4 linked regions of the Alligator mississippiensis genome follow. The protein of the gene in region 3 purifies or fractionates together with the protein of the main gene of each other region. This does not show direct contact. Links are inferred from orthologs where the notes say so. Each region holds a gene or a part of one and is shown on either strand. Other genes may lie near its edges. The genes, in order: YTHDC2, TRIM71, LIN28A and RSBN1.

Evidence for each region.
Region 1: the proteins of LIN28A (region 3) and YTHDC2 purify together in Homo sapiens (co-immunoprecipitation; 3 studies listed by BioGRID and IntAct, with this or other methods). This does not show direct contact. The link is inferred for Alligator mississippiensis from reciprocal best matches to the Homo sapiens genes LIN28A and YTHDC2.
Region 2: the proteins of LIN28A (region 3) and TRIM71 purify together in Homo sapiens (affinity purification with mass spectrometry; 3 studies listed by BioGRID and IntAct, with this or other methods). This does not show direct contact. The link is inferred for Alligator mississippiensis from reciprocal best matches to the Homo sapiens genes LIN28A and TRIM71.
Region 4: the proteins of LIN28A (region 3) and RSBN1 purify together in Homo sapiens (co-immunoprecipitation; 3 studies listed by BioGRID and IntAct, with this or other methods). This does not show direct contact. The link is inferred for Alligator mississippiensis from reciprocal best matches to the Homo sapiens genes LIN28A and RSBN1.

What each region holds. Positions count from the first base shown.
Region 1 is NC_081826.1:226,732,515-226,740,127, reverse strand, and holds the start of YTHDC2 (3'-5' RNA helicase YTHDC2), read left to right. Parts: upstream 1-4,606; 5' UTR 4,607-4,666; coding exon 4,667-4,817; intron 4,818-5,502; coding exon 5,503-5,593; intron 5,594-7,613. UniProt on the Homo sapiens protein: 3'-5' RNA helicase that plays a key role in the male and female germline by promoting transition from mitotic to meiotic divisions in stem cells.
Region 2 is NC_081828.1:141,971,885-141,979,496, forward strand, and holds the start of TRIM71 (E3 ubiquitin-protein ligase TRIM71), read left to right. Parts: upstream 1-4,595; 5' UTR 4,596-5,632; coding exon 5,633-6,517; intron 6,518-7,612.
Region 3 is NC_081829.1:3,104,574-3,111,927, reverse strand, and holds the start of LIN28A (protein lin-28 homolog A), read left to right. Parts: upstream 1-4,338; coding exon 4,339-4,369; intron 4,370-5,224; coding exon 5,225-5,409; intron 5,410-7,354. UniProt on the Homo sapiens protein: RNA-binding protein that inhibits processing of pre-let-7 miRNAs and regulates translation of mRNAs that control developmental timing, pluripotency and metabolism.
Region 4 is NC_081837.1:45,408,897-45,416,291, reverse strand, and holds the start of RSBN1 (lysine-specific demethylase 9), read right to left. Parts: upstream 3,014-7,395; 5' UTR 2,983-3,013; coding exon 2,586-2,982; intron 1-2,585. Other genes in the region: PTPN22 (tyrosine-protein phosphatase non-receptor type 22), read right to left, coding at 5,383-5,447, 7,277-7,354. UniProt on the Homo sapiens protein: Histone demethylase that specifically demethylates dimethylated 'Lys-20' of histone H4 (H4K20me2), thereby modulating chromosome architecture.

The sequences.
Region 1 (7,613 bases), on a different chromosome or scaffold from region 3:
GGTCCTCCACAGAGCTGCTCTGGTAGCCAGCCCTGGCCCTTGCTCAGGTGCTGAATCACTCTGCCTGCCTGTGTGGGGCAACCAGTGGTGCAGGCTGCAGGGACCTGGACCTGGCTTCATGGCAGGTAAGTAGGAGGTTGGGGGGGCTGGAGAAGGGGGGAAGGGAACCATGTGGAGGCCCTGCCTGGCCCCAGCCCCCCTGTGAGTTCCTCTTGCCCCCGCATTCATTCCCTCTGCCCTGTTCATTCCCTCAACTCCTTGTTCATTTCCCCCGCCCTGTTTGTTCACCCAACTCCCCGTTCATTCCCCCGCGCCCCCATACATTCCCCCAACTCCTTGTTCGTTCCCCCTGCCCCGTTTGTTCCCAACTCCCCATGTGTCCCCCCCACCCCCTGTGGAGACGAGCCCCTGGAGACAAGCTGATGTTCCGTTGCTCATCTCCAGCCTCCTCCTCGTTCCCCTGCTCATTTCCAGACAGCAGGGAAAATGAGGGGACAGCACGGGAACAAGCAGGAGGTTGGAGATGAGCAGGAGGCTGGAGACAAGCAGGGGAACGTTTCCAGCTTGTCTCTCCAGCCCCAGAGAGAGGGAAAGGAGGGAAGGCTCTGATTTTTTGTTTGTTTCTTTCTTTTAACAAATTAGATTAAGAGACATTCTAAACTTTGATGCTTTGGTCAGTTATTGTAGAGTCTGGAGGGATGTGGTTGGTCCTAGGCTGAAGAGGTAGCAGAGGCTTTTGGCCTGGGACCCTGGGTCTATTCCTGCCTCCCTCCACCAAAGAGGGAAATTCAGATAAGAAGGGGGAGGAGGCAGCAGGGAAGACTGTGGACGATCATCCCAGTCCTCAGGGCCAGGCCGGGCCGGCTCTTGCGGTTCCAGTGCTGCAGCCAGGAACTACGTGGTGCCAGGGCGGGGGACAGGAGGGTAGAGAGGAATGATGGCAGTGGGCAGAAAAGTGGGAAAGTGATAGGGGCTGGGGAGTGGCAGTGAGCAGGCACATGGGAATGCAGCAACAGCTAGGTGGTAGTGCAGGGCCCATGCTGGTGCACTGGGGCCAGCACCGGTGAGGGCCCAGAGCAGAGCATCAGGAGCACAGGGCCTAGGCTAGCAGGGGCTGCATGGAGCTGGGCTGGGCTGCACCAGCAGGAAGATGTGGGAGCCAGGCCAGCTGCCAGCCTGCACCCCACTCTGCCTGCTGCACTCCCGCCCAGCTGTCACTGTGCTCCCACATGCCTGCGTGCTGCCGCTGCCCTGCCACCTGCCCCCAGACAGCGGTGGCAGATGGGGGGAAGTGGCGGTGAGTGGAAACACAGGTCCCACACCAGTGCCCTGAGGTCAGGAGTGGCAGGAGCGCGGAGCCGGGGCTTGGAGAAGCACTGGCTGGGGCTCCACTTGCTGTGGGAGGGCTCTGGCCAAACCCTCCCCCTCCACACATGCTACAACCCTACCCAGCCACCCTCCCCCACAAACCCCATACCCACCCACACCACACACCCCATATGCACCCTTACCCCACATACTCACACTCCCATACCTATCCATCCCCTCACAAACCCCCCACACACCCCCACACCTCACATACCTACATACCCACAGCCCACCACAAACCTATACCCACTAACCCACAAGCCTATACCTCCCCACACCCCCAATATACAAAAGTAAAACTTAATTTTAAGCTATTATACAATCACCTCTTATGTATGCTACACAAACACATGTAAATCAGGGCAAAATATTTTTTTGAAATAAAATTAATGAATGCTGTAGTAGATATTTGATTTTTAGAATATAATTTGGAATTTTTATGGTTCCGAGATGGCAACCCCCCTTGCTGAAAGGAGTACTTCTTGGGGGCAAGGTGAGGGACTTCACGTGGCAAAGGTCAGGGGTTAGAAGGCGGGATTTCTGGCCCCAAGATAGTGACCAGGGGGCAGGGCACCTGTGAAGGGGCAGGGCTACCCTTGCGGCCCCCAACAGTTGCCAAAACTCGGTAAGTGGCCCTGCACCCAAAATAATTGCCTGCCCCGACTTAGGTAGAGTTTGTATGGTAAGGTATTTGGAAAATAGTATTACAATACAGGAAACTGAGAAAATATTACATAGAACCTTTGAGACAACGCAAACTTGGAACACCCCTGCCATTTTATGATCATTTCCCAGAACCCAGCTGTGCCAATCTGTAAGAGCCCCGGTACACATATCCCGGCCAGGTATTTGCTAGGTATTTGTGTCTGGGTCTCATGCACCCGTGTGTTCTTTAAATTCTCTAGTTCTGAGTATATTCCAGCACTGTCTCTTTCCTTGATCCTTTAAACACACTTCCTAGGCATAACCTCTCTCAGAAATGGGTCCTCTTAGCTGTATATAACAATAAAATACCGGTATGTATTTCCATGCTTCAATTTCCTCCCCATTCTTGAGCACTCTTTGGGTTGTCATGGTCTTGTAGGGTTTCATGATCATTCCTCTCATCCATGTGAGGTCTCTGGACTGTGGAGCCGCTCTCTCCCTAACTCTGGTGTTGTTACGTAGATCAGCTCAATGCCTCTGTTTCATAGTGCTGTTGGTGTGGTTTTGAGAGCTGCATTCTCTCATTTGCTTGTAGTTTTCATACGTACGTATGTAGTTGCAGGACCCATTTGTTGGGAATCAGAGCAGCGCCGGCAGCTGCTTTCTGACCCCCCCCACCGGAGCAGTAAAACTTTCACCTGACAGGCGGGTAGTGATGGATGGGGTGAAATTAACCAGGCACAGACGCGTGTTGGTTACAGGAGATTGTTTACTTACGTCGCCCAGATAGTGACATGCGACGCAGGCTGAGCCTTTGTTCCTGTTACAGTTGCATCGATTACAGTCAAACGTATATCAAGCAATGACGAACGAAGCGCACCGAGAACGGACTATTGAGCCTGCAGGGCTTTACTACGTCAAAATTAACGATGACGGGGAGAGATTGACAGCTGATCAGACTGTCAATCTACTCTGGTGATGGACTCAGGTCTCTCCTCAGAGGTTTCTCCGGGGTTCTCCACCTGGGCGGAAGTTGCTAAACTATTTATAGACAGAGGTGTCTGACGGAGATACCCAATGATGAACCGTTATGTGGAATCTTTAATTTTCTGGCAAGCAGCAGTTCTTTGTGCTCTCAGGTTGCTATCAGGTTACAAGGTAGTGGGTTAGGTTTTCTGCCTGTTATGTATGAGGTTATGATGAGGGGCTTACGCTTGTTTCTTGACCAATTGCAGGGATTTATGGCAGGGCTATCCCCTTTCACCCTGACCAGTCTTAAGTTTCGTTTCTTGTTTGTGACGTGGGCGTAAATTATATACAGCTCTCCGCCAGGATTTTGTTTCAGGAGTTTCTAGCAAGGATTTTTTTTTTTAACCCTTAGTTGACTACTTGAATGGTATCTCTTGCTAGTGGCATGGGCACTGATTCACTGGGTTGTGACACCATTCTGATCTAATTTTGACCTGCCTGCACTCCTGTACAGAATCTGAGACCATGGCAGGAGGACACTAATCATGGGGAGTAGTTGCTCCCATACCTTTGAAAGTCTATGTACATCAAATGTATGCAACAGAAACATTTTCTTGTAAAATAAATAGAGATTGCCTTCCAGTTTGATGCAATATGCCTGACAAAGGGTATTTATACCCGAAAGCTTGCAAAGAAAATGTTTTCCAACTATTTGAGTTGGTCTAATAAAAGATATCAGATTTACCCAAAGAACCTTGTCTGCCTATGTCCTTATGCCAAAAGAGCTACAACCCATACCCATGCAAAATGCTGTTCATTATTATATTTTCCAAGTATTACTTGTAGTGTTTTTCCTGTACAGCAGCAGTTCTCAAACCTTTTTGGCTCAAGGAACAAGTTGGAAAAGGCCAGCTTTTCGTTTTGAACCAGTGTGCTACTACGGGCATTCCCCATGCTTCTGGGCTTTGCTGGCTCCCCCACCCCCTCTTTCTGCCACACTGTCAAGTGATTTTTAAACCTCGCTCAGAGGCAATGGGAGTTTTGGCTGCAGCCAGGACCAGAGATTTTGACTGGGCTGTGCCAATGTTCCTGCTTGGATGCGAGTCAGAGGTTTGTGGCTAGAGGGTCTTGCACCCCTGCCCAGGGTCTGACCAACTGCCATAGTTGGGGGCAGGAAGGAATTTGACCCCGCGGCCAGACTGGTACGACTGTGGGGACTTTACCTTCCTCTAGCAGGCTGCAGCCCTCTGCCTAGGCTCTCTTGAGCACATACTGACGTGCCACAGAAGCAGAACGCTGGCTGTCCAGGGGCCCCCCGCTTTACGCGGGGCCGGTGAGGGCATTGGGACTGTGTCAAGGCTGAGGGCAACCTAGCGCAGAGCTGAGGCGAAGCCTGCTCCTGCCTCGGCCTTACAAGGGCAGCGGTCCCCCAAGGCCCCAAGGGTCACGTGACTCAGAGCCACAAGCTCAGCAGCTGCGAGCGGCGCCTTGCGCCTCCAACTCCCCGCATCCCAGCACCCCCCGCGGCAGCTGCTCCTACTCCGCCCCGCCCGCTGCCTGGCGACGGCGCCGCAGCCGCCTGCCCCGAACACGTGCTGACGTCAGAGCGCTGCCGCGTGGCCCCGCCCCTGCCTCCGCTCCCGGCTGCTTTCACTTTTCGGCCCCGTTGCAGCCCCGCGGTAGGATGTCGCGGCCCAGCAGCGAGTCCCCGCGGCCTGCGCCGGGCGGTGGTGGCCGCGGCCGGGCCAAGGGGCTGCGGGACATCCGTGTGGACGAGGAGGTGAAGATCGCCGTGAACTTGGCCCTGGAGCGGTTCCGATACGGCGACCAGCGAGGTGCTGGCCTGGGACCTGGCCCCACCCCCTCCCCCTCAGGCGCTGCCCACCCCCCCCATATTTATTCACTTTCATATATATTCATTAATACATAAGGCGAGGCCTGTGTGTACCTGTAGACTGGAGCCGCAGTCTAGAGGGGTGGGCCAATGAGGCAGCAGCACATATCCCTGTAGAGTGTTAGTGGTTGTCAAGCAAGTTGGCAGGCTGGATCCGGCCCATGGGGGCTCCTTCCCACGTGCAGCCCTGTATTCAAGGCCCCCACCTGTATTCAAGCCTCCCCCCCAAGTCCTGATTGGTTCCACCCCGGGAAGCAGAGAAACTGAGGGGTTTGCTGGGCCTCCATGAGAAGGTGATACGGCCCCAGCACTTGTGACAAAGATGGTGCAGACCAAACTTCCCTCAGTTACAGCTTTGCAAAGCCAATAAGCTGTAAAAATATGATAAACGATTGCCTTAAGTAGTTGTGTCTGTAAAACTAATAACATAATTTGGCCTTACACTAAAGTTGCATTTCATGGGGAGAAGAAGTTTGTTGAAACAGGACATTCCTTTTCCATTGTTCTCTTGACTTGCCAGTGCTATTAAATATAAAATGTAGAAAAGTATTATTTTGGTCACTGAAGTTAGAAGAAAGAGGGTGGCTCTGTTGTGTTGTTGTCTCTGACTTTTTTTTTCTTCTTAGAAATGGAATTTCCCTCTTCTTTGACTAGTACGGAACGAGCTTTTATTCACCGACTGAGTCAGTCCCTTGGCCTCATCTCCAAAAGCAAAGGGTAAGCCGTTACCTGATTAGCTCTCTTAGTCATTAGATGTGAACATCTGCCTATCAGTTAGATGATATTGTATCATTTTGGTGCGTTTTATATCATAGCCAAGGATTACCATTCTTTTCCATGGGAAAATCCCTGAGGGTAGAGGCATTGATAAGAAAAAGAAACAGAAGTTCCTCGTGGGTCTCTCCTAGCATTAGTCCTCTTCTTTTTTTAAATGTTTGTATTCTTTAATTGTTGAAGGAATTGGAGATCCGCGTGGTTTTGGAAGATGTGTTCTCTCACTAGCTTGTGGTTTATATATGTACATAAAGGAAGGTTCTTTTGTTGTAGTAGTGGGGCTTATTCTGGTCTAATAGTAGCATCTTCCGCCCGCACTCCTGTATGGGATCCAGGACCTTGGTATGGGACAGCATCATGGAAAACATCAGTTCCCATATCTAGAAATTTGGAGAGCAGGGCCTTCAGAAAGGAGTTTGTTGTAGGTGCATTCATATCTAGGAGATGGATTTACCCCATTCTCTTTCCCCTCTCTGATGCCCTAAGAAGGGAAGAGGAGCTCGATGGACAGAGGGCCCCTTTTATGTTCAGATAAAATGATGAACTGCATATACTTCTAATAAGCATCTCAGTATTGCCAAGTCTTCAAGGTTTAAAAATATTAAGGCAGTAGAGCGGGGAAAAAAGACAAAAACTGGTATCTGCAAGGCACACAAATCCCTAGATGTTATTGACTTAAGAAATAGGAAGCAGTTTCAGAAATGTTTCCCCTGTACATAGTCTCTTCTTTCTAACACAGCTTCTAGACAGGGGCCATCCTTGTTCAAAACTCTGATCATAGTTTGTTCTCATCACTCCAAACTACTTTTACTGAACAGCAAAATCAGTATTTCAAAACAAGTTGTAATATCACTACTGATGACAATGGTATTATTGGGTTGCTACTGTGACTTATCAGCACTTGATATTAGGGTATCATGCCAGGAATGTTTTGTATCCTCATTCTACTTTCATTGTTGGCCTCGATTAAAATAAAAAGGAACCTTGTGCTAAACCAGTGATTCTCAGGCTTTTAAGGATGCTATGGGGTGCTGTGCAATATTCGTGCTGTGTTAGATGTACACATTTCTAACACATGATTCAAAGTGACCCAGGCATTTCAAATAGGGATCCATAATGTCCAAAATATTTTGACCTGTTGTGGTCTTTCTAAGTTCTTTGCAGCAGAAGAATTGCTCTTTTGTTTTTTCCATAGTTAAGAAATGAGTAAAAGCTAAGGTCTGGCCTTTGTGAAGAGTGCTTTGAGTCTAAAAAGCTTGAGGACCACTGTGCTAAAACTCTTTAGAAACAAATGACTGAGTTTTACTTCAGTGCTGAGTTGAACACAGAGAATGAAGTGGATATAATCATCCACAATTCTAGCAAATATGTGCTTCTGTAGGTTGGTTAATGGATTGTGCTGCCTAGAAGCAAAGCAACTAGAGCTGTAACATACTAAAATAAACACTCCGGGAGAACTATTGGGCTCCTGAGATAAGTTTTAAAGCAAAAGAAAAATAATATTTAGTGTTGAAGTAACTTTTGACTGTGGATGCTTTAGCAGTGCATTGTAAACTTTTTATTTCCAATTCCAGAGCGCAACATATGCTATCTGACTGAATATGCTGAAGATTTGAAGTCTCTTGCATATGGACTCAATGTGTTTTATTTATTTTTTTCTTATGACTGCTAAATCATGAAAACATAGAAGACTCTTAAACCTACTCAGACCCCTAGGTTTATGGGGACATTGTAACAGAAATCTAGTGTGTACGGTGGAGAAAAAAAAGGAAACTTTGGAATGTTAATACATTTAAGAATCAGAGTGCTTTCTTCTTAGAGAAACGAATAAATTGAGAGAGGTGCTCATAGCTGGAGGGATATTTTGGTAGCATGCTAACTTTATTTATTGCATTGATTTATAGTGCACCTGTAAATTAGAATTATAAAAATGTTTTGCTCTCTGCTTAGATTTCTTTGCTGT
Region 2 (7,612 bases), on a different chromosome or scaffold from region 3:
TTACACATTTTTGGGGGAACAGAATTTCCTTCTAAAGAACCGGGGTAGGTGAGCTGATCCCTCACACCAATTGCTCCTTAGAGACTGCTAGAGATGTCAGCAGCCATCTGCAGGAAGGCCCTATAATATCCATGCACTGGTCCCTTTGCATCCTGTCAAGCATGATTTATGCAGAAACCACATTGATACAAGCTCTCTGAAGGCCACTGATGAGGGTCCTAAAGGGTGCAAAGGGTGAAAACAGGCAAATGAATTTACACAAAGATCATTGTCTTGATGGGGGAGAATGTGCTGTGTAGACAGTTCCTGGCCATGTCGTGGAATTATATCGTATGGGCAGCTCTTCCACTTTCTTTGCTTTCTCTCAGGATAGGAGCTCAGAAATAAATGTAAGAAGTTGTGTTATGAATGTACTTGCTAATTAATCCATTGACAAGTGTCTGACTAAGCAAGAGTCAGTGTGCAGGAGTGGGCTTTCTTAGCTGGCACGGTAAACTTGGTATCTCGGACATCTTTTCAGAATGTCCTAGATTGAGCAGAGCTCAAAATCAGAGCCAGAAAGAAGAACTCAAACCCAAGCTCTCCAGGCTGAACTGAGATAGTGCAGCAGAGTGTTTAGACTGTTTGCAAGCCAAGAGGAGATGACACATTTCTCATGGCCTTGTGTATTGTACAGCTTTGATCATGCTGTTCTGGATCACAAAAATATTATTCTCATCTTGAACTTATTTTGCAATATGTCATGAAAAAAAGATTATGCCAACTTCAGCCTCTTGCTAATATGTGTGGCAAATAAGGAGTTATTTTGGATATAATCCAGTTGCTAGAGCAATGAAGGCAACAATAAACACTGTTTGTCTGTTCCCCATTTGCAATATTATGTGGATAATGAGTCAGGGGCAGCAACCTGACTTAGGGGCATTCTTAAGGATGTCACAACAGGGAGGACTGAGGGTACTGTGTTTCATAATAAACCTATTCAACAAGAAGAGGCTCTGGTTTTGTTTGCATCTTTGCAAGAACCTAGAAAGTACCATGCTAGAACAGTGAACTACAATCGCAGCTTTTATGCCTGCAAACTTATCTTCTGCAGGGTAAACGTTTCTGGGTCTCCAGAGAAAAAGCAGAAAAAAAATCAGATCTATATGCTGACGGCTGCCAGTGCACATCTAAAGACCGAATGAATCAGACGGCAACCACCATTCACGGGGTTTTAATACTTCAACACCGCACACTGTCTTACCACTGACGAAGAACTGGCCAAGTATGACTGTAAAAACTGACAGTCTGCTGGACGTCTCTACCTAAGGTTTGAGGACTAAAAGCTTTCTGTCAGTGTTCGTCTATAAAATTATAAGCAAATACCACAACATCTGCAACAACCAATCTTGAGTTTTTACTCAGTTTTGATTAAGCTTTTAATCACTGGGTCCAGGTACACTGCTTTTGCTTTTCTAATTTTGCTGGGACACTGCAGTGTCAAAACATAGCTTTTCCATAACACCATTAATAAAGATAAGCCCCTGCAACATGTATTGAGAAAAGCATGCTCCATTAATTTGAGGCAGATGCTAACAAATGGCTTAAGTGCAGTTGCTTTCCAGGCCTAAGGTACAATTCTCCGCTGCCTTGAAGGAGGAACAAGGGGTATGGACACATGTATGTTTAGAGCCATTTCAAAAGGGGAATGTTGCAAAAGGGCAGCAGCTGTCACGTTCCAATTGTTACATGCAGAGAAGCTGTGGAGAAAAAAAAACAAAACGCTTCAACTTTTCACACTGGATGAAGCGGTGTTAAATTTGGAGCAGTTTTGCTATCTTTGCATAGTTCCTGGCTTGTTCACATGTAACAATTACAGCATAACAGCTGCTGCCTTTTTTGAAATGTTCCCCTTTTGCAATGGCTCCAAATGTTTGTGAGACAATACCCAAGGTGTAAGTGTCACACTGAGCCATGGCAGCCTGTGCTAATAGACTATTATTGCTGTTGTCCAATACAGATTTTCAATGAAAGGAATACTGAACCCAGATCCTTAAAGGATTTGGCCACCTTATGATTCTCCTAAATACCTTTAAAGAACTGGGCCATTCTCCTTGATGTTAGGTTATTATAAGGTGTAATTGGATTAAAAATAAATTATTGCACAGCCCCAGCTCTGACTCGTGGTCTGAGACTAGCAGTAGGAATGGCATTTTAATTTATACTTCAGTGAGGAAAAAAAGACCCATAAAAGAAAATAATAAAAACATTTTGTATCAAACTCCAAAATGCAGAAAACACCTGCAGATAATAACGGAGGCAATTGTCATTTATTTGAGAAAAAGCAATCGTGGTTTGACAATTGGGATATACTTTGTTGTAATTAAAAAGGAAGATATGAAATATTAGTTACCCAGGGAAAATTAACGGCCCTCTCACATTGAAGGTTCCCATGTTGTACCTACTATTATGCAGTTAGACGGATCCATGGTCACAAGATCAGACAATGAACAGTAGAGGTTTTACTACCTTTAGGAGGCAGAATAGTTTTTAGTATAACAAAAGTATGCTGATTTAAAAATGTGGGGCTAAGCATACCCAGTAGAAAAATCCATTATGCTATTAACCATGCAGTTAAAGATAGATGAAGTACATAGGGAAGCTCAAGTACTTAACAGTGGAGCATGGACCTCACCACTTTTAAAAGTAAATGCAAAGCAAATTGATCCAGTTTAGTTTTACTTGTTTTTTTTTCTTAAGTAAGATACAAAAGCCACCCTTCATCAACATAAGAAGCTTTCTCCAACATTCAAAGGGAGGAATGAGAGATTCTTAGTTTAGAAAATAGAAGTAGGTGCTCAGGTATGAAGGTGATGTGTGTAGTATAGAGTTTCTGTGGACATACAGCTCTTTGCTTACAGCCATTTCTGCTGCTGAAGATACAGGATCTGGCTATAAACTGTGAGGTTTAGCAGCTTTGGAGCAAGATGCACTGAATCTTTCAAGAGTCTAGGAGCCTTACACACTACTTGTGTAGCACCAGGCACCCTGTTGGTATGCAAGGGAAGAATTCCTTTGTCCATGTTTGTTAGTCGAGCAAACCAAACACTTGCACCGTGGAAGGTGGGAATGTGAGCTGTGCATAGAGACAGTGTTGGGGGAGACTCTTATCTGAGCAACCCACAGAGCACAAGCCAGTATTAGCTATTCAGTGAACCAGTGCACTTTGTATCCTTCCATTTTTTCCTTGGGGCAAAACAAACTAAACACCAGGATAGGAAAATCAAATGTAAAACAGAATTTTTTTTGCAACGTTAACTTAGGTACCTTAGACAGTGGTTTACGTAGCATAAGCTATGCAACGTATGGAGACATGCTAAATACACCATACAGATATGTAAGTCCATACCCTGAGGACATCGTATGCTCTAGGAACACGATCCTGTAAACATTCATGGCTTTGCCTGCTTTAAAGCAGGGGAGCAGCCCATGCCTGCAGCTTGGTCTGCATGTGTGGAGCCTGATGCTCTTGGGGAGTCCCTCTCTATTCAAGGAAACTGCAGGCAAAAGGGCTCTTCACTTGCAGGTCATGTTGCAGCAGCAAATAAAGTCTCATGTTCTGCAAAAATGTAAATGTGTGCTTAATGCTAAACACGCAACCTAAGCATGGGCATGCGGATTGTGTGTAGGACCAAGGCCTGAATAGGCAGGAGAAACTCTCTGTGGTTGTTAGGTTTTTTTAGCCTGCTTTTCTTTTTACCATTTTGCCCAATTATGTTGCTATCTTCTACTTTCTTGACATTTATTTCACACCCCTTTGTTTGGCATTTGTGTTAGAGATGAAAATGTTAAGGAGATGCTATGCTGCATCTTTCCTGCTTTGGGGTTTGATTTTTTTTTTTGGTTTCTCCTATCCTATTTTCACGATTTGTTGACCTCTTCCCTATTTCCCCTTGTCCTTTCCAATTGCAAACCTTCAAGTATCATTCCTTATTTAACTGATAAGCCAGAGGACAGTCAACGTGGTTGTGTTAACAAACCTTAACTTTTGGAACAGCCTGGATTCCCTGTGTTGGATTAAAACTAAATATTTGGTGGTTAAAAAGATCAAAAAGGGGGTTGATTTTTGGCAACCTGAACACTGCCTTTCCACCACTTATTTACCACTTATTCTCTGCTTCATGAGCTCTTAAAGGAAGTTTCTGTTCCCTGTCCAGCAATTGCCCTTAGAATCTTTTTATTTTTTCTGGTTTAAATCCAAACAGGGACAACATTTTAATGCAAACTCTACAGCCGTCAACTTAAAAAAAACCGAATAATTCACCAGGACGTTACAAAAGTGTCCTATTGAGAGCTGTCATGTGTCCAACCCTCTCTTTAATTCAAGGGAAGTTCTTTTTTGAAAAAGAAAAAAGAAGTGTGACAGAGAGTTGTTAAAAACGGGGGAAAGGGACAAATTTTTTATAACAAGCTACTGGAGGGGATCCAATTAGACTGCATTAAAAGATGGGGAGGGAAAGCCTAAAATGAAGCAGGCTCCGCTTCTGTTCAACGGATCTGGAGGTGAGGGGGGACAAGTGAGGCTCAAGGGCTGGGAAACAAAGGGGTGGCAACGTGAAAGATAAGCAGCCCTCCCACAGCCCGGGGAGGCGGAATACTAGAAGATTCAGGAACCTCCGGCTCTCGAGGAGGCAGCGAGCGAGGAGCAAGAGGGTTAATGTTTCCTGTTTGCCTTCAGCCCCCCACCCCCGCCCCTCAGCCTCCCCCCGGCGCCCAGGCGGAAGTGAGCGCGCTACTTCGGAGATTAAAAGGGTCCCGAACTCCGATCACTTTCAAGAGCAGGCGGCCGGAGAGCGCGGAGAGGCAAGGCCGAGCCGGAGCCGGAGCCGGGGCAGGAGCGCAGCCCAGCCCAGCCCAGCTGGAGGAGCCCCCGGCCGGGAGGGGCCACCGGCAGCTCCCCCGCGCGATGGCTCCGCTGCAGTCCCGCGCCGCGCAGCGCAGGCTCCCGCCGCCTCAGTGAGTCACTGCCGCTAATTGCAACCCGGTGCCGGCCACTTGCTGGGGGGCGGGGGGGGAGCAGCGAGGTGAAGAAGCGGCTCTTATTTTTGGACCGTGCTCGCCGCCGCGTTTTTTTTCTTTTTTCTTCTCGATTATTATCGTTTCTCGCCCCCTCCGCAGCCGCGCGCCGGCACCCGGCGAGATGACAAAGGAAATGTGATCCCGGGGGCTCGGGCCGGGCAGGAGCAGCAGGAGGAGGAGGAGGAGGGGGCGCGGGACCGGCGGCAGCGCTCATCTGTGCGAGCGGACATAATACACCTCCATGAATAATTCAGGCCGGCCGGCGGGGACCTGCCGCCGCTCCGCCGCCCGGCCCAGCCGCCCGACCGCCGCCTCCCGCCGGCGCGGCTAGGAGCCAAGTGGAGCAGCCGCGTGCGGAGGACCGCCCGGAGGCGCCCCTGGCCCGGCTCGGCCCCCACAGCCGGGTCCCTGCGTGCTTCAGGCGCCCACTGCCTCCACCATGCGGTGGCGGAGCCGGCGTCGGAGGGGGGCGGCGGGAGCCGGCCCGGCCCCGCTGCGCTGAGCCCGCCCATGCGAGGCGCCGGGGCCCGCAGGTAGCGGCAGTCCAGTCCCGTCCCGTCGCGTCCCGCCCCCCATGGCTTCCTTCGGCGAGGCGGACTTCCCGGTGTGCCCGCTGTGCAAGGAGGCGTGCGGCTCGGCCTCGTCCAGCTCCTCCTCCTCCTCCTCCTCTTCCCACGGCGGCGGCGGCGGCGGCTCCTCCTCCTCCTCCTCCTCGTCGGGCGGGGGCGGGGGCGCCCCGTCGCGGCGGCTGCACGTGCTGCCCTGCCTGCACGCCTTCTGCCGCCAGTGCCTGGAGGCGCAGCGGGGCGCGGGCGGCGGGGAGGCGCTGAAGCTACGCTGCCCCGTCTGCGACCAGAAGGTGGTGATCTCGGAGCCGTCGGGCATGGACGCGCTGCCCTCCTCCAACTTCCTCCTCAGCAACCTGCTGGACGTGGTGGTGGTGGCGGCGGCCGCCGAGGAGCACAAGAACGGGCGGGCCGGCGCCGTGGGGCCGGGGCAGGGCCCGGGCGGCAACAACCGGCACCACCGCCCGCCGCACCGCGCCGCGCCCCCGCCCGCCGCCTCGGCGGCAGCCCCGCCACCCTCGTCCTCGTCTTCCTCGTCCTCGTCGTCCAGCGCGGGCGGCGGCGGGGGGGGCGCGCCGTCGGGGCCGCTGCTGCTGCGCCGGCCGCACAGCCGCCAGGGGGAGCCGCGCTGCAGCTCGTGCGACGAGGGTAACGCGGCCAGCGCCCGCTGCCTGGACTGCCAGGAGCACCTGTGCGACAACTGCGTGCGCGCCCACCAGCGCGTCCGCCTCACCAAGGACCACTTCATCGAGCGCTTCGCGGCCCCCGCGCCTGGGCCTGGGCCCGCCGGCGCCGCCCAGCTCGGCCTCAGCCCGCCCTACCCCGCCGCGCCCTACAGCATCCTCTCCGTCTTCCCCGAGCGCGCCAGCTACTGCCAGCACCACGACGACGAGGTGAGCTCTTGCCCCCTCCCTCCCTGCTGGCCTGTGCCCCCCTCCCCCCAGGCCTAGGACCGAAAAGAGCCAGGTAAGGCAGCATGGGGGGGACGGGACTTAGGTTTCAAGGCTTCTGGCTCCCGTGCCATGAGCTGTGGTTCCCTCCCCGTTTAACCTCCTGCTCTCAAAAGCCTGAGCTGTTTCCCTCCCCAAAACCTCCAGTTTGACTTCACTCCCCGGGATGCTCCTGCTTCCAAATGCCCCAGCCGGAAGGGGCTTGCTGGGTGGTGCCGCTGGTCTTCTCTTTTAGTCACAGATGGAGATGTTTTAGTCCCCACCTGAGCACTCCCCTTCTACCCCTCCCCCCCATGTCACTGGCTCTGAACAATTAGATCAGATCAGCTGCTGGCTTAAAAATGTGGCCTTGTGACCACATAAGGCCTACAACTGGCTTCTGCATCTGGGCAGGTCTTTGCTTCATTCAAAGCTTTGGCCGTTTCCTTGCTTGCTTCCCAAGAAGGGACCTCCCGGTGTATTGTTTGTTTGTTTGTTTGTTTGTTTGTTTGTTGTGTGGTAGGAAAGCATGTGAGGACAGGGGTACCACCACAGATGTGACCTGTGGTCATTCTTGCAGAGCTCTTGAACTGCATGCAAAATTATTATTACTATTCCTACATAATGTGCTTTGAAGTTTTGCACTTGGGTCACATTAGCAATTTAAGCCCCATCCCTGCCCCCACCAACTTGAAAACCTCTTTGTCAAAACCTCTATTGTAAGCTGAGTTGAGGGGATATGGGAGCACTTCACATGTGCACTCCCCCTTCTGCCCCAGGGTAGAAACCAAGTCTTAGAAGTCTATTTAAACTGCCCCTTTCTTGGAGGGGAGAAGGGGTTGTTTTGTCTTGGTTTGGTTTGTTTCTCCCTTTCAAATGCAAGTAATATTCAGGCTGTCACCACTTAATACAGTAAAATTGATTGCAAGAAATCTTTCCCTGAGCTTGAAGGAACTCATAAAAAATACAAAGGTGGCATCTACAAAGTGTTGGTGTTGCATTAGTGATAGGAATAATGCAATTAAAGAAACAGGAAACTAGCAAGTAGGTGTCAGGAGA
Region 3 (7,354 bases):
GGGCTCTCTTCCCAACTCTGCCACTGAGTGACCAGGCAAACCTTAGGGAAACCGAGGTACAATCTGCCAAAGGGGGCCGACCACACTCATGCCCACAACAGGGCAGTTGTGAGGGGCTATATAACTCCTGAATTCAGTGCTGTGGGTGGTGATCTCAGCATCACCCTGAAGCCCATTAAAGCAAATGAACCAGTTTCACTGCTTTTGGCCTCTCTTGAGCTTGTTATGTTTTTAAAGGTGACTTGCTAGCAGAACTGGTTCCACTGCACATGAGGTGAAAGCAAAGGAGTCACTTGTGTCTGCACCAGCTGCCTTGGGAGATTGCTGGTGAGAGAGGGAGACTCGCACCCAGAGCTTAGGTGAGGAGTGACCAAAAATGGCTGTTGGGAGGGCTACTTGAGGTGGGTTTTTGTGGGGTTTATTCAAGCTGCCAGAGGACAAATATCCTCTTCTCTCACTTGCACTCCATCCTTGTCAGTAGTGCCAGCAGAAAGGCTGGGGAGTGAGTTGATATGGAGATGCATCTGGCTCCTCTGGATGGTCCTCCAAGGCTCTGAGTCAGTAAAGCACCTGTCTTGTTTGCCGTTGCGAGTTCCAGGCAGGGGAGGAACCGTGCGGATGCTGTACATCAAGAGGACTTCACCCTCCAAGGTTTCTAATGAGGTTCTGCTGGTGTCAGTGCTCCTGTGTCGCCTATGTAAGTTGGTGTATTGGTGCCCATCAATGGACAGACAGAGCAGTCCTCAGTGTCTCCTCCAGGAAACAGCATGTCCCAAGAGGACTGTGCAGAACTGGGCCAGGTCCTGGAGAGAGGCTGAGGCCTGGTAGCTGCTGCCAAAGCCAATGGCTAGTTTGCCTTACAGGAGAAGCTGGGAGGCTTGGAAATGCCTTGGGCTGAGCTACCCTCCCCAGATGACTAAAGGGCATTCCAGGAATGAGCCCTGCTAAGGAAGGGCTTGATCAGTGAGCAACAGGAGCTGCCAGTAAGGGCTGAGTCAGGAGTGGAGGTGTGACTGCAGGCTCTTCTGGAGTTAAGTCCCTACCAAGCTGCCAGGGCAAACCCCCATGTACAGTCCCTGATCTCTCACTCTAATGCTTTTGTGTCCCACACAGATGGCCCCAGCTGAGATGGAGTCTTAGATTGTCATGTGCCACCTCCCTTGGCAAGGCAGTGATGGGTGAGGAAGCAAGATACCAGGTCCCCAGGCCACTGGCACCTCACACTGATCTATCCTCCTACTCAGTTCCTTGTATTGCTGGGGAGAGAGCGTGGAGTCCATTCCACCCCTGTTCACTTTGTACCAGGGCTGCTCTGGACCAGGACCCTGTGCTCCCTCTGAGCATGGTGTCTCCTGAGCTGGATTTGGAGAAGCTTCAGTAAGAAGAGGTCTAGCCCCTCCCCCCCCCAACATAAGACAGCCCCTGCCTGGTGTGATGTTTTCCTTGTTTAGTGCATCAGAAATGGCCTGGAGTCATCCTACAGCCTGGAGTCCTGCCTGGGACAGTGGGACCAGCTCTCCGGAGCAACATTTCCATTATCTGTGTAGCTACTTCTGGGGGGATGAGTGTGAATGTTTGCAACAGCTTCAGGGCTAGAGAAGTGAAAGGTGTCCCCCTATTTATGGACCGTGTGTGTTCTGCAAACTAAGGTGCCTTCTTGCCTCCCATTCCACATACATCGCACAGCTTCATTAGCAGTTATGAATAGCTCCAATTATTGCCGTCCCTCCAGAGAGAACACAACTCAATGGCCAATTAATACAACTATATGCAACAAATCCTTCTTCACTGGACCCTCCCCAGCTTTCCTTTGGCTTCCATTTACATCCCCTTCCATAATAGTCAACCCCATAAGCAAAGATAGTAGGAAATCGGGGAAAAAAATAGAATTATAGACAATGAGTGTTGGAAGGGGCCACAGGAGGTTGCACTAGTCCAACCTCTGCTCAAAGCAGGACCAGCCCCAACTACATCATCCCAGCCAAGGCTTTGTCTACCCAGGTCTTAAACACCTCCAAGGTTGGAGACTGCACCGCCTCTCTGGGGAGCCTGTCCCAGTGTGTTACTGCCCTTCTCTCAGAGAGTTTTACCTAATATCTAACCTCAACTTCCCTTCTGCAGTGGGGGCCAAAACTGGCCACACACTCCAGATGTGGCCTCACCAGTGCCCACTAGAGGGGAAGAATCACTTCCCACGAATAAAATCGCCCGTGGTGAGTGTTTGATGGGCATCAGAGAGATTCACAAGCAAGAGCAGGGACAAGTCCACGCGCTCGGCACCCCGGCAGCTGCTAGCCCCAGACACCAGCTAAGCCTAAAGGAAGATGCGGTTGATTCCTCAAAGAGAGGATGATGATGATAGCCAACAGCTGGTGCAGAGCCGACTGCCTGGGATTGAAGCAGCCCCGCCCGCCGCTAAGCAGCTTTCCTGGCTCCGGACCGGGTCGGGGCACGGACGGTTCACCCGGCGCTGGAGACCGGGTCCCCGGCGTGGCGGCTTCTCCCTGCCCCGCACAGCCGCGGTCAGCACCTTGGAGAGCGGCCGGCCAGCCGGCCCCGCGGCCAGCACCCTGGACAGCGCCGGGACTCGGCCGAGCCCGGCCGGGGAAGGGGCTGCGAGCCCGGGGCCAGCGGCGACCCGGCCGGGGGGACCCAGCGCTGCGGGCCCGGCCGGGGAAAGACCCATCGCCATGCACCCTTCCCTAGCCCCGGGGAGAAGGGGGCAGCCCTGCGCCCCCAGCCTGGAGGGAGAGGGGCATCGCCCTCCCCGCCGTGGGCTGCCCCCTGCCCCGCCAGGGCTGCTCCCACCCTCCCCTCCCCTCCCCGTGCCCCGGGGGCTTCCCCTGATGGCAACGGAGCCCCGGGGGGAGGAGAGCCCAGCCGGGGCCCCCCTGACCCCCGGGAGCGCCAGCCGCGGCCGGAGCAGGTTCGAGGCCGCCCTGAGCTCGCTGCCCGCGAGGGTCCGCGGATCCGGGCGCGGGGGGTTTGGGGGCTCCTGTTCCCACGGGAGGGGCCGCAGACTTCGGGGGCCCGGGCTGGGGCATCTCCCGGGCTCTGGGCGGGCGGGAGCGGGACCTTCCCGGGGACGGGGGCGGGACTCCGGCCCTGACCCCCCGCAGGGCCGGGGTGGCTCAGCGCGGCCCCTTTAAAAGTCCCGCCGCGCCGCAGGGGAAGAGTGCCCGGGCATTGTCCGGTTGCAGCCCAGCGCCGGAAATGGGGGGGGGGATCGGCCCGCCTGTTCGGCCATTGTCCGGCCGGGCCACGAGCTCTCCCGCCCCAGCCCCGGGGGACCCCCGGGCACGCGGCCCCTCCCCGGGGAGCTCGGGCTCAGACCCGCGGGGCCGGGCTAGGGGAGGGGGCGAGCCAGCCTCAGCCCCGTTCCCAGCTCCCCCGGCCGGCCCGCTGCCCCCGCGGGCTTCCCCGGGCGAGGTGCCGCCGGGTCGGGGCCCGCGTGCGCGCAGGGGGCCCGGGAGGCACGGCTGCTCCTGGCTCCGCTGCGCCGTCGCGCAAGGGGCTATTTTCAAACGCGGCCGCGGCTGCTCTCGGCGCCGTCGGGGCGCTCGGGCTCGGGACCCGCTCGCGGGCGAGGGCCGGCCAGGGAGGGCCACGCCAAACCGGGACAGCCGGCCCGGAGCTCCGGGGCTGCATCCCCCGGGACAGCCCGCCCCGTCCCGGCGCGGGGCAGGGCAGGGAAGCAGAGAGGCCTAAGGCGCGGAGCTGGGCCCGGGGGAGGGTGCCCGAGCTCCGTGCCTTCGTGGGGGGGTCATCCATTTTTTTAGGCTTGACAGGTGGTTTCCAACCCTGATTGGTTAGGCGGAGGGGGGGTCTCGCTAACCCCCCTCCCCTGGCCGGAGCACCGAGTGTCCAGGGGGGGGAGGGTCGCGGAGCCCCCAATACAGCGTCCAGCCCCGGGGGGGGGGGGTAGTGAAACTGACCAGGGCGCGGTGAAACTGACCAGAGCAGCCCGCATGGCAGAAGGTGATTCCCGCCCCCAGCCCGCCCGCGGGGAGGGGAGAGCTCCGGGGTGTAGCCGAGGCGGGGGGCAGAGCTCCGGCCTTCCCCATTGTCTCTTAGAATTTGGGATCCTTTGAAAAGCCCCTGGGCCCTCCCCCTCCCCCTGCCATTGTTGGAGTGAAGATGTAGCCGACCTCCCCTCTCCCCTCCTCTCCCGCTGCTGCTGCTGCCGCTGCTGCTGCTGCTTTTTGGCCTGGCTTTATTTATTTATTTATTTATTTTTTTGCTGGGGGTGGGGGGGGCGGGGGCCGAGCTGCCGTGACCCGCCCGGGCCGAGGGGAGGAGGGCGCCCGGCCACAACGCGGGCCTGCCAGTGGGGACAGGATGGGGTCTGTTTCTAATCAGCAGTTTGCAGGTTAAAGCGCTAATATTTCTTACAGGCGGGTTTATTTTGGGGGTGGGGGGTGGGCAGGAGTTCCCGGCCCCACCGTGCGCTCCGTCTGGGGGTTTTGGGGGGAGGGGGCGCGGAGCTGGGGCGGGGGGGGTCCGGGATGGGAGAGCGGGACCGGGCGGGGGCTGCGGCGGTGCTGGGTCCCTGGGCCGGGGTCAGCGGAACTCCAGAGGCCACAAAAAAGAGAAGGCAAAAACTTTCCTGCAACGGGAGGGGGGAGAGCTGAACCCCCCTCACCCCTCCTCGCCCGCGATGGGATCCCCGTGAGCCGGGATCCCCGGGAGTGGGGCCGGGGTCTTCGGCCCGGCTCCCTCTGCCCCTCTGCCAGCAGGCCCCGGCTCCAGGCTGGATCCTGGGGGGGTTCCCCGGGGTGCTCCCCCCTGGAGGGAGCAGTAGGCCCCCCACGGCGCTGTGAAAGAGGGGTAACTGGGACCAGTAAGGGAGAGTAATTGGGACCAGTAAACGGGGCAACTGGGACCATTGTAGTTGGGTAACCAGGACTGGGGGGGGTGATTGGGACTCTGAAGGGGGAGTAACTGGGACCAGTAAAGGGGGGTAACTGGGACCAGTAAGGCAGAATGATTGGGACCAGTGAAGGGGATAACTGAGACCGGTAAGGAGGGGTAACTGGGGCCAGTATGGTCGGGTAGCTGGGACCAGTAAGGACGGGTAATTGGGGCTAGAATGGTCGGGTAACTGGGACCAGTAAGGGGGGTGATTGGGACAGTACGGGGGTGCAGCCGAGGGTCTCCCGGGCCGGGGAGGGGACGGCGGGGCTCGGGGCCGCGGGCTCAGCGGGCTTGGGCCGCATGTTCCCAGGTGGCTGCGCCAAGGGCGGCGAGGAGCCGGCCGGAGACTCCCCGCAGGCGGAGGATGAGCCCCAGCTGCTCCACGGCTCCGGCATCTGCAAGTGGTTCAACGTGCGGATGGGCTTCGGCTTCCTCTCCATGACCAGCAGGGAGGGCACCGCGCTGGACTCGCCCGTGGACGTCTTCGTGCACCAGGTAGGGCGCGGGGGTTGCCCGCGGGGCTCGGCTGGGGGCCGGGGGAGCCCGGCGCAGGGTGAGCCGCTTGGGAAGGAGGGCCTGGGGGCCCCCAGACCAGCCGGGCGGGGGCAGGGAGGGAGCCCGGCCGGAGCTGCCTCAGCCGCTACCGAGAGATTGCTTTCTCTCTCTGTGATGCTCCACCTGGAGCCCTCGGAGCCGGGCAGATGCGGGCTGCAGCCGGCGGGGCAAAGCCCCAGGCGGCCGGGAGAGGCAGCCAGGGCTCTGGGGCAGAGAGCTGGCAGCAGAAGCCGCCAAAGGACAAAGCTTTCACCTGCCTCCAAAGACAGCCTCCACCCTGGCAGGCCTCTGGATGCCCCCCACTCCACCGGCCTTGGCACTGTGCTTGGTTATGCCTTATCCATAGCTGGGGTTTAACCAAGACCCTGGTTGTGGGCCCCAGGCTTGCTCTTAACACGGGTCAAACCCAAGCCCACCCCAGTTGGCACCGAGGCAGGGGCTTTACAGCAGGTGGTGGCTCCAGCTGTCAAACAAAACCCAAAGCACCAACCCACCCACCACCTGGCAGGCAAGGGCACGCGTGAGCACTGCCCACCTGGGCTAAAAACCTGCATCGTTCTGCAGGATCCAGCTTCTGAACTGGGCAGGGTGGTGGGGCAGTGACCACTAGCAGTGAGCAAAGGGTCCAGCCGGGCTCTGCTTGACTGCTTCTGGAGGAGAGCCAGAGGTTGGGTGCTGGCACTCTTGGGGGCGAGGATGGTTTGCCTCGTACCTGCTGCTGCGGCTCTCTGGGCACAGGTCGAATGAGGTCAGTTGGCCAGGATGGACCAGCAAGAGGGCTGCAGCTATGAAGCTATGCAGCTATGAAGCATGGAGTGTGGGTTTTTTGTAGCAAACATGGATTTATTCCCCCAGTGTGAATGGGATCAAAGAAACATGTGCTTGTTCTCTTTATTGAAAAGCCAGGGCGATGCCTGTGGTATGATGCTCTCCCTGTTTCCAGGCAGTGGATATTTAATGTGCATTGACCAGGTGAATTTCTCTGGGAGATCTGAGGTATCCCCCCATGTTTTCACTCGGTACAAATGGAATGAGAGCTGCAGAGGACAGTTGTTTCTGGGGTCTCTGATGGCTGTGGCTGGAAGGGCTCAGTATAGGACTTGCCCAAAATTTGTGGTGGTCAGCGGCTGGGTTTTCATGCAGTTGACCAAGTGTGTGTGGAAAGCATGAGATGTAATAGAGATGGGATTAGAGGCACTGGCTCCAGGAGAGAATTGGTCCCTTCAGGTGGGGCCGGAGTACACTGATGGAACATACAAGCTCCGGAAGGAAAGAAGATGGGAACCTGAATTCCCTTATTGTGGGAGAGGGCAAGCAGCGCTTGAGCACAGCACAAACAGAGGAAACTCCTTTTGTTCTAATTACCGTCCTGCTGGTGGGCCATAAAATCAGCTGAATTTGGAGGCCGAGGATTCCCAGCTCACCTGGGAACACCTAGAGACTTCTTTACCGTTCTGCTGGCGATGCCCTTGCTTCCCCTGCCTCCTGTTGCAGGGGGTCCTTGGGTTTGTTCTCAGGGGGGCTTTGTGACTGGGTACATGGGGGGGCTGGAGTGGACCCGTTTAGGACTCTCTGGATAAAAGGCTGTCTGTGGATGCAGGGAACCAGGTTCTGGCCCAAAAGGACTTTCCAGGACCATGGTGCCCTGATGACCGAGAGTGGTCACTGTGTCCAGTGATGGACGGAGCCAAGTTCTCTGCTAGAGAAAATGGCCAAATCTTTTGTGCCTCTGCGCGGTGTGTGAAATTCAATGTGAGCCCTGAGTAATGGAGTCTGTGGGTGGGAATCCTCCATTCTCCCCAGCATTTATGGCCCCCAGACAGTCTAGTTTTCTGATTGCCGGCACTAACATTCCTGCACAAAAAGAGAACAAGCCAGGGTGTCT
Region 4 (7,395 bases), on a different chromosome or scaffold from region 3:
CAAACTGTTGCTGCATCTGTGTGCACACAGAACAAAAAGCTCCATGCCCTCAGCAAGAAAGAAGCTTTTCCTGGCAAACATGGGTTTCAGTCGGCATAAATACTAACAAAAGTATTTTCACGCAAGGTGGGGAGGAAGCCTCTAGCTCTTACAGCTCTAAACGAGAATGGATGCACAGTTGTCTTCCTGGTTCTCCAGAAAGACAGCGCCAGTGCTTCTGAAACTCCTCAGAGCTTTGCCAGGCCACGTGTTTAAGTAAAGGCTCTGGTCTGTTTCATAACCACAGTCAAACCTCGAGGGCTCTGCAATAGCCCAGCCGTAGCAAGAAAGGTTGTCAGCCCAATCCTTTAGAGGCATAGATGCACAGAAAGTACATCTGCTAAATGATGCATTTGAACAGGCATCACTTTACTAAACCTAAAACTAAAGGCCTGTTAGGGTTGTTATGATTTTTATATAAATGTCTCACCTAATTTATTATAAAATGCTTTCTTCTTACTACTAGAATCTCTCAACTTTTCCACACGTAAAAGAAAACCCAATACATTCCTAGGCTCCTGCTATTAAAAAGAAAACACACTGGAGGAGGTAACAAAGTTACACATTCCCAAGTCTTAGTTTGAGGCCAAATTAAAATGAAGCATCAATAACAACTATTCCCTCGTCAAAATTAGATGGAGAACAAGAGAATGAAGCGATCTAATGTTTCTCTTGCAGTTTGTGAAAATGTCAAAAAAGTGCTTGGTGTAATACTCTCAGCTGGACTTCTGATATATCACATATACATTTCTGCCTGACCTCTAAGACCATCTTTCTCCTTACTTCCATTTATAAACCTTTAATATAGGATACACAAGTATACTGTGTGCATACACACATACATACACACCTACATAGAGTCAATGAGAAGTAAGGCTGGAAAGGACCTCCAGAGCTCATCTAGTCCAACCCCCATATACACGTGTGCATGTATGTGTATAATTACACCCCCCCCCCATACCTGCATGGCATATTATATACAATCACACACAACTATACAGAATATCCCTCTTGATTAAGCAGTACTTCCACATTGCAAATTGATCTCTTTAGACCAGGGCCATGTCCCAGTACCGGGCCGCGAAGGATTAGCTGCCGGACCAGAAGTGACCACTGAGCGGCAAACAGCAGACTGGAAGGGACTGCCATACTGTGGACTGGTAGCCAACCCTTTTTTATACTGAATATAAAAAAAGGTTTGGATGCCTGCCTGCAGTCTGCCGGTCACGGCTGGGCCGCAGTTTGCCAGGCCACGGTCACTTCCGGTCCTCAGCATAAAAAAGTTGGGAACCGCTGCTTCAGACCCACCCCGTGGAGCTCAGACTAACAAAATGGTATTGTTACACTAGCTTTTAAAGTTAAAGTAAAATAACCAAGAGCCTCCCCAAGAAATCTTTATTTTTGGTACTATAATAAAAACTGATCTCACTACTCGTGTGTCCATTCAATGCCGTCTCAAAGTATTTTCTTAGCTAAGATTTCTTTCTTTTTAAAATCCTATTCATAACCCCTAATGGATCTTTTAGGATACGGGCCAGAAACTTCATAAATTCAACGTGTAGTTTCCCAGTTTCCAAAAAAACTGAAATATTCTAAGACTTCTCTTAATCAACTGATGCCAGCCAGAACACGATCACGGTTTTAGCGACTCGTCTGGGAAACAGTTTCCTTAACCGAGCCTGTCAAAACGGATGCTTATTTTGCTGGGGTGATCCGACCCCTGCTGGCTTCCTGCTCCACGGGCAGGGGGCTGGACCCGGGGATGGCGCACTGCCCCTTCCAGCCCTAATGTCTACGAAATCTATAGATAAGAGAGTCATATGCCTGCTATAAGAAATATTGCTTCTCCACTACGCAGGCCTGTCCTTCTAGAGCAGCGGTTCCCCGATCTGTGGTACGGGTACCACCATGGGTACGCAGACAACCCGTCAGTGGTACGTGTCAACAGATTTATTACAATTACTTAGTACGGTATCAATGTGCTGGTGGTACTTAAGGTTGTGTCGTTTTAAATTGGTGGCGTGCGATCGCTGCTCTCGCGGCCAGACCTATCACCCCCGCCACTGCCCTGTCGGGAACGCCCCGCGGCTCCTGCACTTCCGAGGCCTGAGACAACCTCTGGCAGCCGCTGCAGAGCTGCGAGGTCAGTCACGAGATGACAAACCAGGAGAGGCCCTTGCTTGGCAGAGCCAAGTTCTTCTGGTTAACAGCTTCTTCTCCAGCACCTGGGCTGCGAGGCTCCCATACGCTGCCTAGTCCGGGACGGACAGCAGCCAGCTCGCAGACGAGGGCCAGACTCAGAGTTGCCACTTTCTGGTCAGTTCTTCCCGGGGCTGACAGGTCACGGGGCCCAGCCGATGCACTGGGGCAGGAAGCGTGCTTTATTTTGAGCCCAGCCAAGCCACCCCTGCGCGCGGGGCTCAGAAGCCGGCCCTGGCCCGGCCCGCGGCAGCGCCCCGGCAAGCGGAGGGGGGCCCGGAGCGCCAGCCGCCCTCCCGGGACCAGCCCGGCCTGGCCCGGCCAACTCCCCCGGCCCCGGCCCTCACCTCGCTTGGCGGGCCGCGGGGCCGCCCCGTCCCCGGCGCTGGCCCGCCGCGCCTTATGAGGCGGCTGCCCCGCGGGCTCGGGGCCGTCGGGTCGGGGGCGGTGGTGCTGGTGGCGCTCGTCGTGCGGCGGCGCGGGCGGCAGGCTGAGGGGCGAGAAGGTGAAGAGCCCGACGGCGGCGGGCGCGGGCAGGCCGGGCAGCGGCTCCGCCGGGCCGGGCCCCGCCAGCAGCGGCTGGCTCAGGCGGGCCCGCTTGGCGCCGGGCTCGCCACCGGCGCCGGGCCCCCGCCGTCGTCGCCCGCCGCCGCGAGGCCGCCCGGGCCGGTCCCCCGGGGGCAGCGGGGGCGGCTCCTCCGGGGCCCGCGACACGGCGCGCACTGCAGCGACCTGCGCGGCCATTTCGCAGGCTCCCTCACACACATTTAAATGGCCCGAGCGTCCGGCACCAGCGCGCACGCGCCGCGCGCCGCTTGCTGGGGGCTGTAGTCCGCGCCCAAGCCCGGCGCCGGCCGCGCATGCGCCGCCGCAGGGCCCGCCGGGAAACCGAGTCCGCCCCGCCCCTGCGCCCGGCGCCAGGAGCGTGCGCCCAGGCACGCAGGCCGGGGCCGTCACGTGGGTACCCCTCCCCGGCCAACGGTCGTAACGGTCGCCCAGCGCGCTCGCGCGGAGGCGTTGGGCGCGCAGCAAGCACGTGTGCTCTCGCACGGCCTGTCATCGCGTAATGCGCAACAACAACAACAACAACAACATGTGCAACAAGGTGTGCAAGAACAACCACAAAACGTGCAAGAATAACAAATGACAATCCAGAACAACAGCGCTGCATAAATAATACATTTATTCCACGTAGCATCTCACAGGCAGGGTAAAACACTTCACAGAATCAGTACAAGTTGGAAAGATGTGTCAGTTCTTTACAGGTCTGATTTGACATCGGGTCCTTGTCGGATGACCGTGAGGCGGATCTGATTTACACCGGGGGGGGGGAGCCCCCAGCTGCCCTCGAGCAAAGAGCATAAAGATCTGGTGCGGCCACCTTCGCTGCCCCCCCTCGGGGCTTGCGCCCAGCTCAGGGCCAGCATGAAGGGGAGTGAAACCAAAGAGCCTCCGTTCCTTTAGCGCCACAGGCACCGCGCGTGCGGCCTGGGGCTCCAACAAAACCCCTCTCCTCCCCCCACTCACCTGGGATCGGGGCCGGGGCGCAGGACAAAAGGATGGCATCTTTCAGCAATATTCGTTCTTTGGCAATAACTAAGGAAGACCTACAATTAGTAAATGTGTGAGAGAATTCATTTCAATAGTTTTTGCAATGCTAGAAAACAGCTGACTTGGAAGAAAAACAGTCCATGCACTTTTAGGGGGTCCCGCTTTCCCCAGCTTTGAACCAGCGGGATGCCTCTCTATCCCGTATTCATCATCACCGAGTTCCTCCGGGAGCCGAACGGCGCATCAGGCCCTGAAAACACCTGCATAGTTTGCATTTCCCAAGCCAGCGTTTTTCTAGAAGACAGCGAAATACATTGAACGGTTTGTAAAACGTCTACATTTTTCCGTGGATATGAATAGCAAGAAAAGAAGCTTTCAGATTTTAGGAAACTTATCTTCTAAGTGTCTGCATCAAAAGGCTTTGGCAAGTTAAAGACCTTAACGCTGTGACTTTTTTAAAGGCCAAAACTAGGCATATGGACACTTTCATTCACGTGAACTTTTTTCAGCAGACTATGCAGCATGTTTCCATGCAGGCTTGGTTCCTACGTGAACAGTCATCATCGTAAACAGACTTCAGACAGACGCTTAGAGAAAATTACCCAATTAATTTGAACGGAAAGCACCACCATGTTAACATACTTGGCCAAATACCTGAATTCTAAAATCTGAAAGGCTTTTTCTCCCTTAGCCCTCAGTCCTGGAAACAGATAAGCACGTGCCTAACTCAAATTGCCAGAGAACTATTTACGCAAGTACATTTGTGCAGAGGCTGAAGCATTTGGAGGATCAGGGCCATCAGTCACATCATAGACGTATCACACCCAGGTGACACTACTGGGACAGGAAAATCAGACCCATTTTCTTACGGTAAATTAAACTGCAAAGTCAGAGGAAATGACCCTGCTCGTTTAAAAATAAGAACGCCCAGGCTCCAAAATAATTCAGTTTGCTTTCAGACACCATGTTTCATATTTGTTTTTAGTTTCCAGCCTGATGTACAAGAACGTTTTGGAAACTAAAGGCAAAATAGCTACCCACACTGTGTGTCTGCAACAAAGTGGGAAACTAGACAGCAGCAGGGAACACTGATGGCGGCCGTTGGATGCAGCCAGCGTTCGTGCTAAGCACGTGTACGGCTAGCGAGCATGTAAACAAGAAGGCTGTGCAGCTGTCAGTGTGCAAAGAAGAACAGCGTTCTGTCGCTGTCTTTGTGGCCCACAGGAGCGCCACCTCGGTGAATTCACCGTATCGCTCGGTCTATGAGTGGGTGGAGACGTTAAAAAACGGCCACACGTCCCTAATGGACAAAGCCCAGGCAGGACGCCTCCAACAGCCACCACAGAGCACCGTCTTGCCAAGGTCAAACATTAACTACAAGTGCCAGGCAGCTGCTACTCATTTCTGCATCCCTCTTCATATTACAACTGATTAGGTGATAAAAACAGATGTTTGCATTATGCCCTGGTTGCAGATACTGCGCAACACAGGCATTTTTCCTTTTTATATTTTGACGGTGATCCATCTTGAAGAGCATTTGAGATGTGTCAGAGGGATATGGCAAATCTACAGTACCGCGTCCACAAAGTTTATTTAAATATTCCACGATGGTGGAGGATTTCTTGGTCCTTTAGGTTTTGAAAATCGTTTTGCAAAGCCTAGGAGTAAGAACAAAATATTTATTTTCATAAGTATTGTAAACACACTGTGATTTTCACATTGCTCTCCTATTCTATATGTTCAGAGTATTTAAAAAGACTTGGGCTTTAAATACACTATGTGCTCTATTAATCCTAACACATCACACTATTTAACTACAGTGACAGAAATGCTGGTATTATGAAGCATGATCACATTTATCCATGTGCAGGGCCCATTAAGGCACTTCAAAAAACTAGAAATTGTAGCAGGCTTGATGTTTAAAAGTCCATAATGCTAAGTTCATTCAAATACTGTCACAAGGCCAATAATTTATCCAAACTCAGTGTCTGACCAACCTCAGACGTTTTTGAAGAAGCATTAAAGCATGAAATCTTGCATTAATATACTATGAAGGGACCTTGGCTGGGGTTGAGCCCTGCTCCTGTGATTACGGGTACTGTTTTCACAAGAAAGTTTCATTGTCTCCGTCTTAAAAATCTGTTTGGCTTAATGCTCTGCAACCATGAGATTCCCCAGGTCAGCTATAGGTAACTCTGGCGCTAAATAATCAAATACAGTTGTGCTGCAGCAGAATGTCTGCCAGCAAACACAATTATAACAAGAATATCAAGGACATATCAACAAGGTTCTGTGCCTCTTGATTAATACACAACTACTCCCTTAAAATCAGCATTTAAATGACATACAGCTTCTCTCCCATGATTTACACAGGGTCAGGCTGTAGCTACTCAGTCTTTCCGTGCAAAATGTGTAACCATTCAGTACTGATTGGTTGTTGTTTTCTGCAGCCCCTTGCCACATTCAAGCTGTATCCTGTCACAACCAGCCACATGTCTGTTGTTTGTGCAACTTGCATGTGTTGACAAGCACCGTGCAGTCCGACATAGCTAGGGACTGCGACAAGGCTGCCCACCCCAGCATACGCTTACTCAAACGTCTCGCAAACGATTAATGCAGCTTAAGTATGCAGTGTGGCAGTGCTGTGGCATTAGCAGCCCTGACTGCCCAGCTCCCCCTCATTTTCCAGCCTGCAAACACGGCGACACTAAGCACCCTGTATTTGAGGACTGTTTACAGCACCCTCGGAGCTGCCGATCTAGAAGCAGTCTTGAAACAAACTAGCTCCAGTCATTTGCAATACTTCTAATAGCAGCCTTTTTTTGACAGCTGCTTCCTCTTCACTGTTTCCATATGGAGGGCTATACAAATTTTACAAAGTATAGAGTTTCAGACAGTATGTGGCTAACAAAATACAATTAAGTCACAATAACAGCAGGGCTGAAAGATCCTATTCACTTAAACAGTAAGCAATTACCCAAGGTTTGTTATGTTATAAGCATTAGGCAACAAATCCGGACTGGTTTGGTGTTATGTAGGGAAGTGAATGATGTGCCTACAAGCAGAATATGTCCTATTGCCTCAGTGCGTATGACAGAGCTTCTACTGTGAATATTCCACCCTTATATGTAGGTCATACATAGCTCATCAATAAACTCCCAAATGTTACACAAGCACACAAACAAACAAACAGCTTTGTCAAAATAATTAAGCTATAAGGCCACTGGCAGCTTTAAATAAATTCAAGCCTCTAATTCTTTTGTGTATTCATGAGCTAAACAGTCACACAGAAGAGTAGGCAATTGCTGCAGTGAAAAGTGTTCAGTCACAGATGCTTCTGATCTATGCAGACACTTTTGTGAAGAGTTCCGTCACCTTCCTCGCACTAGCCAAGAGCCAGCTACAACGTCTGCACTTAGCCTTTTAAAAGTCTATAGTCAATGTTCCAAAAATCCAAAGAGAAAGGGAAGAAGGGGAAACAACATACCAAAATTCAGAAAAGAGGTGGAGTGGTTTGTCTGGGTAGGCTCCCGTGGCTTTGCCAATGCAGATGGGCTGCAGATACCTAGAAACAAACAGAAAGGCTTTCTTTAGGAGGCAGTGACC